Macaca mulatta: one gene and its partners. The protein of the gene in region 2 interacts with the protein of the main gene of each other region in a pairwise test. Links are inferred from orthologs where the notes say so. Each region holds a gene or a part of one and is shown on either strand. Other genes may lie near its edges.

Region 1 (3,653 bases), on a different chromosome or scaffold from region 2:
AAAAAAAAAAAAAAAAAAAAAAAAAAAAAATACCATTCTCTGAAAGCAATGAGGCTTCTTGGAGAAATGGTTGATTCTGGGGCTGGACCACAAAGAGTACAAGATGAGCCTGGCACACCTCATGCCAGAAAGAAAGAAAGTGCTTAAAAAACCAACAGAAAGGGCCATGTGAGAAGGACATGAAAGCTAGCTTGAAGTGGCTCCCACTGGCTAAATCTGGGACCATCTAAACAACAGAACAGATAATAGTAGTAATTAATTATAACCAATGAATAAAACAGAAATCTCTAAGTTCATACTGATAAAAAAAAAAAGAATACATAAATGGGGCAGAAGATAAAGCTCTTCTACAGAGCAGAATGCCAGCTAAAAGAAATGAGGGGGAACAAGGGAGTCATAAAACCACCATTTAGCAACATCAGAGCAATGGCTGGTGCAGGCAGGACTGTGAATGGACGCCAAAGCTGGTGGATTTCAGTTTGACAAATGACAGGGTATAGACATAATCTGGGACTATGTTCCCACAAAATACAATCACTTAAAGGGGGTAAATGGTGAGTTTACGGTGGAGAGATCTGGTGGACAACAACATGACCAGGAGTCAAAGTGAACAACCCCAGCACTTTGGCTATGGGGTACCATGGACCAGGGCAGAGCTCTGCGGCGGGTCTGCAAAGAACACGTGGGCATGAGGCAACACCAGACAGACCCAGGCTGAGGGTCAAGTTACTGAATGCATCACTGTTCAGGGCATGGAAGACAAAGAAAGGCTGGGAAACGATTCCAGATTGGAGAGAAAACGAAGAGATGACAACTCAATGCAAGATGTGTTCCTGAATTGGGTCCTGCATCCGCAAAGAAAAGAGTAGTGTTGGGACAACTGCATGTGGTCTGTGGACTGGGCAGTAATTATCAACGTCCACTTCTCAATCTGGGGGTCATATGGTGGTTACGCAGGAGGCTGTCCGTATTTTTGGAAAACACACAAGAGGTGTGTGTATTTGGGGGTGGGTGACAGGGCATCATATCTATAGCTTGCTCTCAAATGTTTTGGGAATAAAAAAGACTGGAGGGGGATCTCGGGGAGAAGGAGGGAGGGAAGGTGATGGAGCAAATGGAGTGAAATCTTAACAGCTGAGGAACCCAGATGAGAGGGACAAAGGAATTTACAACTTTTGGTAAGTTTAAAATCATTAAAAAAATAAATTATTGGAAATAATTAATTTTTTAAAAAGAAATATTAGAGGAGAAAGGAAAACACTTAAAGATAACCACACTGGTAGCCTATGCTGGGGTTGGGGAAGGGCACGTCCTGACCTCACATCTAAATGGCTTACTTGAAAGCAGGGAAAACAAGGCTATAGGAGCCAGCTGGCTGCTGTGCTCCGCCTTCTGACCCAGGAAGGCTGTGCTTGGCAAGAGCAGGGAGGAGGCTGTAGCGCACAGGTCGTGCCGCCGAGAGAACCAGAGGGCCCAGAAAGCATGATGAGAAGACAGGGCTGGCTCACCCAGATGTGCTGTAGGTCCTTGCTGTTTACAGGATAGATGATGCAGTTGGTGCCGATGAGCTTGACGGCGCAGTCGATGTTGACGTCGATCACCGTGCCACACTGACTGTCCTGGGGGAGGGAGGAGGCATATGCAAGTCCTACGGTGCAGCAGCCCTGGTCACCATGGGAGACCCAGCCCAGGCAACCCCAGCACGCCCCCTGCAGAGCTGGCCAGCTCTCCCACATACAGAGCACAAGGTGGGCAGGCTCAAGTCCCTAAGGGGGCTGCACCCCAGGCCCGGGACGCAGGACTCACGGTGGATCGCATGTGCCGGACCACATCTCGGGGCACCACAGAACGGTCCTCTAGTTTCAGCTGTAAAAGAATGGAAATGTGAGAGATGTGAGAGAATGGGCTCTAAAGCCACCACAGAATACGGTTTTCTTCCAACTTCTTCTGAAGTGTCACATCCACACTGTTAAGTGCACAAATCCTAAGCGTTTGGCTAGCAGCATTTTCACAGACCGCACACACCTCCGACCAGCACCGCGACCCAAGGCGGAGTGCGTCATGCCCACAGGCCTCCTGGGGCCCCTCTGGTCACTGTCTCGCCCACCAAAGGCAAACACTCGGCTCGCCGGGGGTATCCTTCCTCACGCTGAACAGTGGGGCTCAATGACAGATCACATAAGGTCGCACTTTAATGAAGGATTTAACAGCCCATTCTACAGAGAGCAAAACATTTGCTTTGCGTTAAATCTTTTTTCTGCCCTCTGCAAGTGCCTGCCCTAGCTGATCAGTGCTGAGGGAGAGTGGGCTGGGGGAGGAGCAGGACACCGGGCTGCGGTGGGTCACCCTGAAGCCTGGCTATCACCGGACACCACGTTCTAATCTGGGTTATCCTCCTGACCAGCTGCGGCCTGCGCCTTATCTGCTGTGCTTGGAGCCCTGCAGGCTGCTAAGTAACCCTCAGGATGGTTGGCTCTTGGAGCCCGGCCAACTGCACGAGCACCTGATTGTCCCTTTACGCACAACTGGCAGCGGCCGCTGCCTCCTGCTGCTCCATCTCCCAACAGCCCAGGCAGGAGGCCTCAGCCTGGCCTCCCACCAGGCCAGCCTGCCTTCTTTTTTAGCTGGTTCCTCCAACCTGGGGCAGCTCCTCAATGGTTCTTCACTGAGTCATAATCAGGGACGGGTCTGTGTGTGTGTCCACCTCCAAGACCCCAAACCACATGGCTGGAGAGCGGTTTCCTCAAATAGCCAACCAGACACTCCTCCTTGACCTGGGGGCACCGAGAGTTCACCACCAAGAAAGGAGAACCAAGTCACTGAAAAAGGAAGACACTGGCTCAGGGTCACTTAATTGCTGGCAACGACAACTAAAACAAACTCTGTTAGTAGAAGAACATGACTCACAAAAAAAGGAAAGAAAAGCAATGGAGCCCAGCACCAACCAGCAGTGCAGAGAGTCCCACAGGAACTCATGAGCCCAAGTTTTGTTTGTTTGTTTTTTTATTGAGATGGAGTCTTGCTGTATTGCCCAGACTGGAGTGCAATGGCACAGTCTCGGGCTCACAGTAACCTTCGCCTCCCAGGTTCAAGCAATTCTCCTGCCTCAGCCTCCCAAGTAGGTGAGACTGCAGGCACGTGCCACCACACCCGGCTAATTTTTGTATTTTTAGTAGAGATGGGGCTTCCCCATGTTGGCCAGGCTGGTCTCGAACTCCTGACCTTGTGATCCGCCTGCCTCAGCCTCCCAAAGTGCTGGGATTACAGGCATGAGCCACTGCATCCAGGTATGATCCCAAGTTTCAAATGACAACGAGCCCAGTAAATGCAGCGTTCTCGAGTCAGACACAGGAAAGTCAGGCAAACCACTCCTGCCGACACGTGGAAGGAGGGATGACGGCAGCCGTCTCAGCATGGCTGAGGCGGAGTCACCAAGGCAGCGGACCACAGGTGGCACAAGGTGCACGGTACAGAGTAGGTGCTCAGCAAGGCCGGCAGCTGTGATCACCAGCCCTGTGAGCTGCGGGGTGAAGACCCCTGAAAGGTCAGGCTCTCCTTATCTCTGCTTCAAGACCCCAGGAGGCTGCAGGGGCATGTTGGCGTAACGGTGCCACTTTTCTAACTCAAAGAACATTCTGTGCTGTAACCCTCTG
Region 2 (3,653 bases):
TCGCTTTGTCATCCAGACTGCACAGTAACACCTCATTGCAGCCTCAGCCTCCTAGGCTCGAGGGATCCTTCCATCTCAGCCTCCCAAGTTGCTGGGACCACGGAGACATGCTACCAAGCCCAACTAATTTTTTCAATTTTTGTAGAGATGGGGTCTCCCTACATTGCTAAGGCTAGTCTTAAACTCCTGGACTCAAGTGATTCTCCTACCTCGGCCCTACCAAAGTGCTTGATTATAGGCATGAGGCACCGCACCTGGCCTCAATTTTCTTTAAACTCTTAATTTTTAGGAGACTGACACTTTGTCTTATACTACCCAAAACAAATTTCTAGCCCCCTTCCTGATGTACCTTGGGGCACGCTGGAGTTCATCTATTATTTTTAACTCAGGAAGTATGCAAGGAATATGGGATAAACTCAAACCTGTTCATTCTCTTTCAGATCTATTATGAAGCAAGTGTTTAGTTGAAGCTCCAGCAATAGGTGTAACTCTGAAATTCATTTAGCTTTCTGTTCTCAGTCCCCAGCTACGGTGAACAAGTGGTTTCATTTACCCTAAAATATTTGAAATCTTCATTTGCAAGGAAAACCATTCTTCCTAACTTCCTTAAAATAACAGTCTGATGACATTTTTTAAAATTACTTCCACAGACATGAACAAGGATGTTGAAAATAGTTTATAAATCTTTATACTTAATGTAAATATCAAGCTTAATATAAAGCTTTTAGGACAGTTATAATCCAAAATACAGTACAGTATTTACCTGAGCTTGCATGTACCCAAGTAGAGGTTCTAACAATGCTATTTTCTTCTTGTACTGAAGAGTATTTAATGCACAAAAATAATGCATCATGGTCTGGTGTTGTTTCTTTCTGGACGTGTACACATCTTCTGTTACTTCATACTTCACCTTTGAATGAAAAGATTTAAATAATTAAGTAAATAATCTACTATTATTTACTTAATTTTGTATTATCTTCAGTAGGAGCTGTGGAGAAGAGCCCACCGAGGAAAAGGTGTATCACAAGCAATTGAGCATTGATGTTCCTGTTTCTGATCTTTTAGAAATCCTTCAACATACTGGTTAAGCGAATTTTCCTGTTTAACTTCCTTCCAACCACATAATTTACAAAATGCACATTGAGGCCAGGCGTGGTGGCTCATGCCTGTAATCCCAGCACTTTGGGAGGCCGAGGCAGGAAGATCACTTGAGGCCAGGAGTTTAAGAGCAGCCTGGTCAACATGGTAAAACCCTGTCTCTACTAAAAATGGAAAAAAATTAGCTGGGTGCGGTGGTACATGCCTGTAATTCCAGCTACTAGGGAGGCTGAGGCATGAGAATAGCTTCACCCTGGGAGGTGGAGGTTGCAGTGAGCCAAGATCACACAACTGTACTCCAACCTGGGCGACAGAGACTGTCTCAAAAAAAAAAAAAAAAAAGGCATATTGAAAACAGAATTCTGTACATAACTAAGAATGGTACAGTAACTAAACTAAGCATGGCAGAGAAAGCTTACCACATGGAGGAAGGGCAGACAATTGTTTGTTATTAGTTTAGCCATTAGTCTTTGACTTTGATCAGTTCACAGCATACCAGTCTCCCCTCCTGGTTCTCTCCCTATCAGTCTTCCTCTCTTGTACTTGCTTGTCTTCCCTCACCCATACTTGAAATATGTGTGCTCCCTAGAGTTCTTTTATTCAGACAACATATATTTATTGAATACCTATTATGTAATAGGCATTATGTTCTTCTGTCTTCCTCCTTTCCTTAGAATCCTCAAGTACCAAGAATATTCTAATATTCCAATATATCAATGACTCACAAATTTTATCTCTTCCCTCTCACTCTCCCAAGTGACAGAGGAAACGCATCTCCAGCTGGGTTCTTTATGTGTGTTTATGTGCTACAAATGTACAAAACTGAAAATAGTTTTGTACACAAAACCTGTTCTTCTACTTTGTTTCTTAGCTCTCTTAATTACTACAGGATCCATCCAGACATCCAAGAAATCTAGGACTCATTTTTTATTCCTCCTATTACCACAAGACTTGTCAATTCATACTTAAGAAATATCTCTCGGCTGGGCGCGGTGGCTCAAGCCTGTAATCCCAGCACTTTGGGAGGCCGAGACGGGTGGATCACGAGGTCAGGAGATCGAGACCATCCTGGCTAACACAGTGAAACCCCGTCTCTACTAAAAAATACAAAAAAAACTAGCCGGGCGAGGTGGCGGGCGCCTGTAGTCCCAGCTACTCGGGAGGCTGAGGCAGGAGAATGGCGTAAACCCGGGAGGCGGAGCTTGCAGTGAGCTGAGATCCGGCCACTGCACTCCAGCCTGGGCGACAGAGCGAGACTCCGTCTCAAAAAAAAAAAAAAAAAAAAAAAAAAGAAATATCTCTCAAAAGTACTCCTTCCTCTCCACTTTCAGTAACAACCTTAGCTGAGGCCTTCATTATATCTTTGCAAACTATTCCAATTCCTTTCATTGGATTCCCTCTAGTCTTGTCCTCTTCACATTTTCATTAGTATGTTTGTTCTATAACACAACTGCATGATGTTATTCACCTACTTAGAATCCTTTGGCGGTTGTCCACTCCCTCTAACACAAATTTCAAGGTCATTAATATAGTAATCTGGTACCAATATACTTCTTACTCTTTCTGCCATATCTCCAAACATTTCCTTTACTGTCACAGAGTACTCCTAACCTTTACACTCTCCCAACTCCACCATGTGCCTCTGAAAGGCTGTTTTTCTTTCAGGAAAGCAATCTCCAATTCCAAACTAGTGTTATCCACTTATCTTCAATGTAAATGTCACCTTTTAAAAGTGTAACCTTTGCTGGCCGGGTGCAGTGGCTCACACCTGTAATCCCAGCACTTTGGGAGGCTGAGGCGGGCGGATCACCTGAGGTCAGGAGTTTGAGACCAGCCTGGCCAACACGATGAACACCCACCTCTACTAAAAATACAAAAATTAGCTGAGCAAGGTGGCTCACACCTATAATCCCAGTTACTGGGGAGGCTGAGGCAGGAGAATCACCTGAACCCAGGAGGTGGAGGTTGCAGTGAGCCGAGACAGCGCCACTGCACTCCTGCCTGGGAGTCAGAATGAGGCCCTGTCTCAAAAAAAAAAGTGTAACCTTTCCCAATTCACCAATCAAAGCTAACTGCTCCCCTCTCTGTGCTCTCTCCGCATTTTATTAAAACCCCTATTATTGTATTTAACTAATAACAGAGTTAATCCATGCCTTCTTGTCATCCTTGTACTCTGGTTCCTAGTCGACTTGCATGCCTTCACACAGGTAGCCTTCAATAAATGTGGAGTATCCAGTCTTTGAGGGCAGGAGTGAAGCCTATTCCCATTGTTCCCCCAAGGTACCCAACAGACTGTTTGACATATATTAGGTACTCAATGAATTTTTAAATAAAATGAAGTTGGTGAAAAAGTGTTTTTTAAAATACTTTGAACAGCCAGAAGTAATGTAAAATATATCAAATTTTATACCTAGAGCCTTTGACTACTTCTCTAAGGCCAAGTGACTATTAGAGATCTCAAAATGTATACATTTTATCAATACACCATTAAGTAGTAGTCTGCAGCGAAAATTAGAAAACGAAAAGGAAATCAATCTTCATACTAAACTTTGTGT
Region 3 (3,360 bases), on a different chromosome or scaffold from region 2:
GATCAGCAAAGGCCAGGTTGCACATAAGGAACCTGGGGACCGTGAGTTTATATTGGCTGGTAGTTAGGATCACCAGCACTATGATGTTCCCAGTGATGGCCAGGATGCTGATAAACCATATCAGGACTCTGAGGATGTTGTACCCCATGATATCTTCACATGGGTTGAATGCATCTGGCTTAGGGGAACAGGTCACGTCAGCCACTTCATTGCATAAGTCATAGTCAAACTCACTGTACATCATGTCAAATCCTCTGCTGTAACCGGGCTCATTGTCTTCTGCCAGAGAGGCTCTCCGACCCCTAGCCTGAGTCATATAATCAACTTCTTGCCTTAAAATAGATTTGTTGCAAATTGGATGAAGCTCAGAACTAGAAAAATACAAAAAGAAATAGAATCAACATCTCAGATCCAGAATAGCAAATACATCACTGTCTTTGTGCAGGGTAGAAATGATGGGTTTCCTCCCGAGATTTTTTGTTTCTTCTCACATCGTATCTGCCCTTGAGGCTAAGCTCAAGGGTTAATGCTGCTTACTGTAAATGAATATAACAACTTGTATATATATTACTAGAGTTGGATGGCCCACTGGGGAAACCATCTTGCCACAACCTGAATGTGGGGAGGAAGGCGCCTGAGACTAAGCCTTGCTGTTAAGTGAAAATAATTTACAGACCTGGTATCAACTCTACCCTTTTCCTTCTCTCATCTTGATCCAGCTATCTCTTAATATGCCTGAGTAGGAGATATTCCTATTCTTCTACACTCAAATCACTGGAAGATCCAGACTGTTCTCTCACTCAAATGAGAACTTATTTGCTTCTCTTATCTACATAAATTAGGTGATCAAAATCTAGTTAGTTCCCAGCCAGCCCCTGTTCCCTGGCTCTTTGGTTCTCAGGCTATTAGGAGGCCAGCTAATTTGCCTGCAATGCTACCAGGGTCTTTCCTGTTCTTTATTATCTCACTTTCTGGGGGCTACAATAGACCTCAGACATGTGTTTGTCTGCAAGGTAAGCCTGGCTGTCTCATATTAGTTTCCTAGTGAGTGCCCCAAAGAGCAAGTGCAAGTTGCAAAAGGACCTAATTTATTCTAAGAATGTAACTCATCCTCGGGGCAGCCTAGGTCTCCTTGGGCTCACTTTGCTGTCTTGGTTTTCCCTTTAAACACAAATGTACAAGGGGCCTTGTGAACAGCATAGAGGTACTTACAGAGGGATTTGAATGAAATCCAGGTGATAAATATTCAATCCATGAGTATACCTATAAATATTCTACCCCAGAGTAGTCTATCAATACTCTGGATGTAGAGACATGGAAGGTATTCAGTTTGGAAGTAAAGGCTTATGGAATGGGAATAACCCTTACATTGGGACATTTTTGGATGAAAAAAAAAATCACACATACACAGGCATACCTTTCCCTCCTTCCCCAAGGGGCAAGTTCACATCTATATTAAGTTGACTGTATTTTTATTAAACCTTGACATAACCTCAGATATAAGCGGGGAAGTGAATATTAAAACCCTCATAAGGAGGAAAGAAGTGGCTAGGGGAGTGGAGGAGGTAAAGACTCCATTTGATGCTAAAGGATGAGTCTCACCAGGTGTTCCAACCTATTATACATGGACTGAACTTTTCCCCATCTCTGCCCATCCTCTCTTCTCTCACCCCTGGGAAGTGAATTGAATTGCCAGGAAGTCATTTTCCCTTGGCCTAAGGGATTCTTTTTGTTTGTTTAAGGCTCAATGATGAACATATACAGAATTGAAAGTCAATGGAAACAGAGCCCAGAAAATGTTTTGATTTAGTCAGTGGTCTTCCAAGGAAGGTGAGGCAAGCTCCATAATGGGCGTAGAGGGCATAAGAGGGTTATCTTGTGGTCCTTAGTCTAATTCCCAACTCTTAAACCCTGTTATGAACTAGCTGCAGCCTGATTCCAGGAAGAGAAAGTAAGTAACCTGGTACTTGCTGACTGCAGTGTGGTTCATTGGATTGAGATCTTACTTAACTCTCTAGAAACAGGCTTCACTTCCTGGGACTTATGGTTGGCGTCTGTGAAGATTCTTATTGTTGTTGCTGCTGTCCACATATTTTAAATATTGTGCTTCCCTTTTCTGAAACAGAAGTGACCCACTGACATGAAGTAAGGAAAAAAGTAAATAACTTATGTCTCTGAGATAAGAACAGAAACAAAAGTGGAAACCGAGGGACATCAAACCTTGCCTCCACAGTACTTTGGAAAATCCTAACTATCATAAGGATTTGGAAATTCAGTTTAGGGCCAGTTTAAAAAGTGGCACTCTTGGACTCTGATCAGTCAGTGAACAGATGCTTGCGGGTGGTGTAGCAGTGTCCCAGAGCCTGAGCTTTGGAGGCAGGCAGAGCAGATCTGGATTTGTTTGGTCAGTGTAGGTCAGGTTATTTAGTATCTCTGAGCCTCAGTTTCTGTCTCTGTGAGAAACGAATAATAATCATGTTACCTTTGTGGAAATTAAATGAGATAAAGATACAAAGTATTACAGTGCTTGGCAGTGAATACTCAGCAAATGTCAGCAGTATGAAGACAAATGGTGGTTATTTATGGAATTCTTGTGGAGGTATAGGCCATGTGTGGGTACTTAGAAGCATATGCCACAGCATGTCAATTTAATATTGAATCGTGAAGAAATGGCCTTCACAGCATTGTGTTGTGAAGAAACAACTTGTATTGTTAAATACAATAAAAATTGAAGAATAAAATGAGAGTAAAGTAATGCAAACTGAATACAGAATTATGACAAGGAAATATCTGGTTCAATGACAAATGAAGAGTGTAGTTGATAGGAACTTTTGGGAAGAGCCCAGGAAGAGTCCAGGAGGACCACTGGCCAAAGTTTTAGTCACAGGGGCCTCATGTTTATACTCTGGGCATTATTTCCAAATGAGGATCAGAATAATTTCATCATACAAGTTAAAACTTGAATCCCACTACTAAACCACACCTACTGTGATATACAATGAAATGATACTATCAAAGGAATAAATCTGAAATTATCTTCTGAATAACATAATTATTTTGTGGTGTTTGTGTGTGTGAATTTGATGAATACAAAAATCAAATACCCATTGCTAAAAATAAAAAACGAAAACCATCTATCACAATTTTTGTTACTCCATTTTGGCACGTTGTGGAAGAACCACATTCCCCTCCTTGCTGTACCCCAACAGGCCTGGATGGTGAGTTACAGCAGCAACCTAGAGGGATGAGAGCAGAGTGGTCTGGAGGGATCAGAGAAGACCTCATGTCCTGGGACAATATAAGGCAGATGTGGAGATGCCAATTGGGAGAGCCTTGAGGCTATGTCTAGAGGAGTCTGAG

What was found.
Region 1: the proteins of APPL1 (region 2) and UBE2O interact in binary tests that used the Homo sapiens proteins (3 or more experiments, as listed by UniProt). The two-hybrid records come from large-scale screens. The link is inferred for Macaca mulatta from reciprocal best matches to the Homo sapiens genes APPL1 and UBE2O.
Region 3: the proteins of APPL1 (region 2) and FSHR interact in a two-hybrid assay, tested with the Homo sapiens proteins (2 studies listed by BioGRID). The link is inferred for Macaca mulatta from reciprocal best matches to the Homo sapiens genes APPL1 and FSHR.

Annotation. Positions count from the first base shown.
Region 1 is NC_133421.1:86,153,472-86,157,124, forward strand, and holds part of UBE2O ((E3-independent) E2 ubiquitin-conjugating enzyme), read right to left. Parts: intron 1,867-3,653; coding exon 1,807-1,866; intron 1,620-1,806; coding exon 1,509-1,619; intron 1-1,508. UniProt on the Homo sapiens protein: E2/E3 hybrid ubiquitin-protein ligase that displays both E2 and E3 ligase activities and mediates monoubiquitination of target proteins. Negatively regulates TRAF6-mediated NF-kappa-B activation independently of its E2 activity.
Region 2 is NC_133407.1:120,802,267-120,805,919, reverse strand, and holds part of APPL1 (DCC-interacting protein 13-alpha), read right to left. Parts: intron 911-3,653; coding exon 764-910; intron 1-763. UniProt on the Homo sapiens protein: Multifunctional adapter protein that binds to various membrane receptors, nuclear factors and signaling proteins to regulate many processes, such as cell proliferation, immune response, endosomal trafficking and cell metabolism.
Region 3 is NC_133418.1:75,836,720-75,840,079, reverse strand, and holds part of FSHR (follicle-stimulating hormone receptor), read right to left. Parts: intron 372-3,360; coding exon 1-371. UniProt on the Homo sapiens protein: G protein-coupled receptor for follitropin, the follicle-stimulating hormone. Through cAMP production activates the downstream PI3K-AKT and ERK1/ERK2 signaling pathways.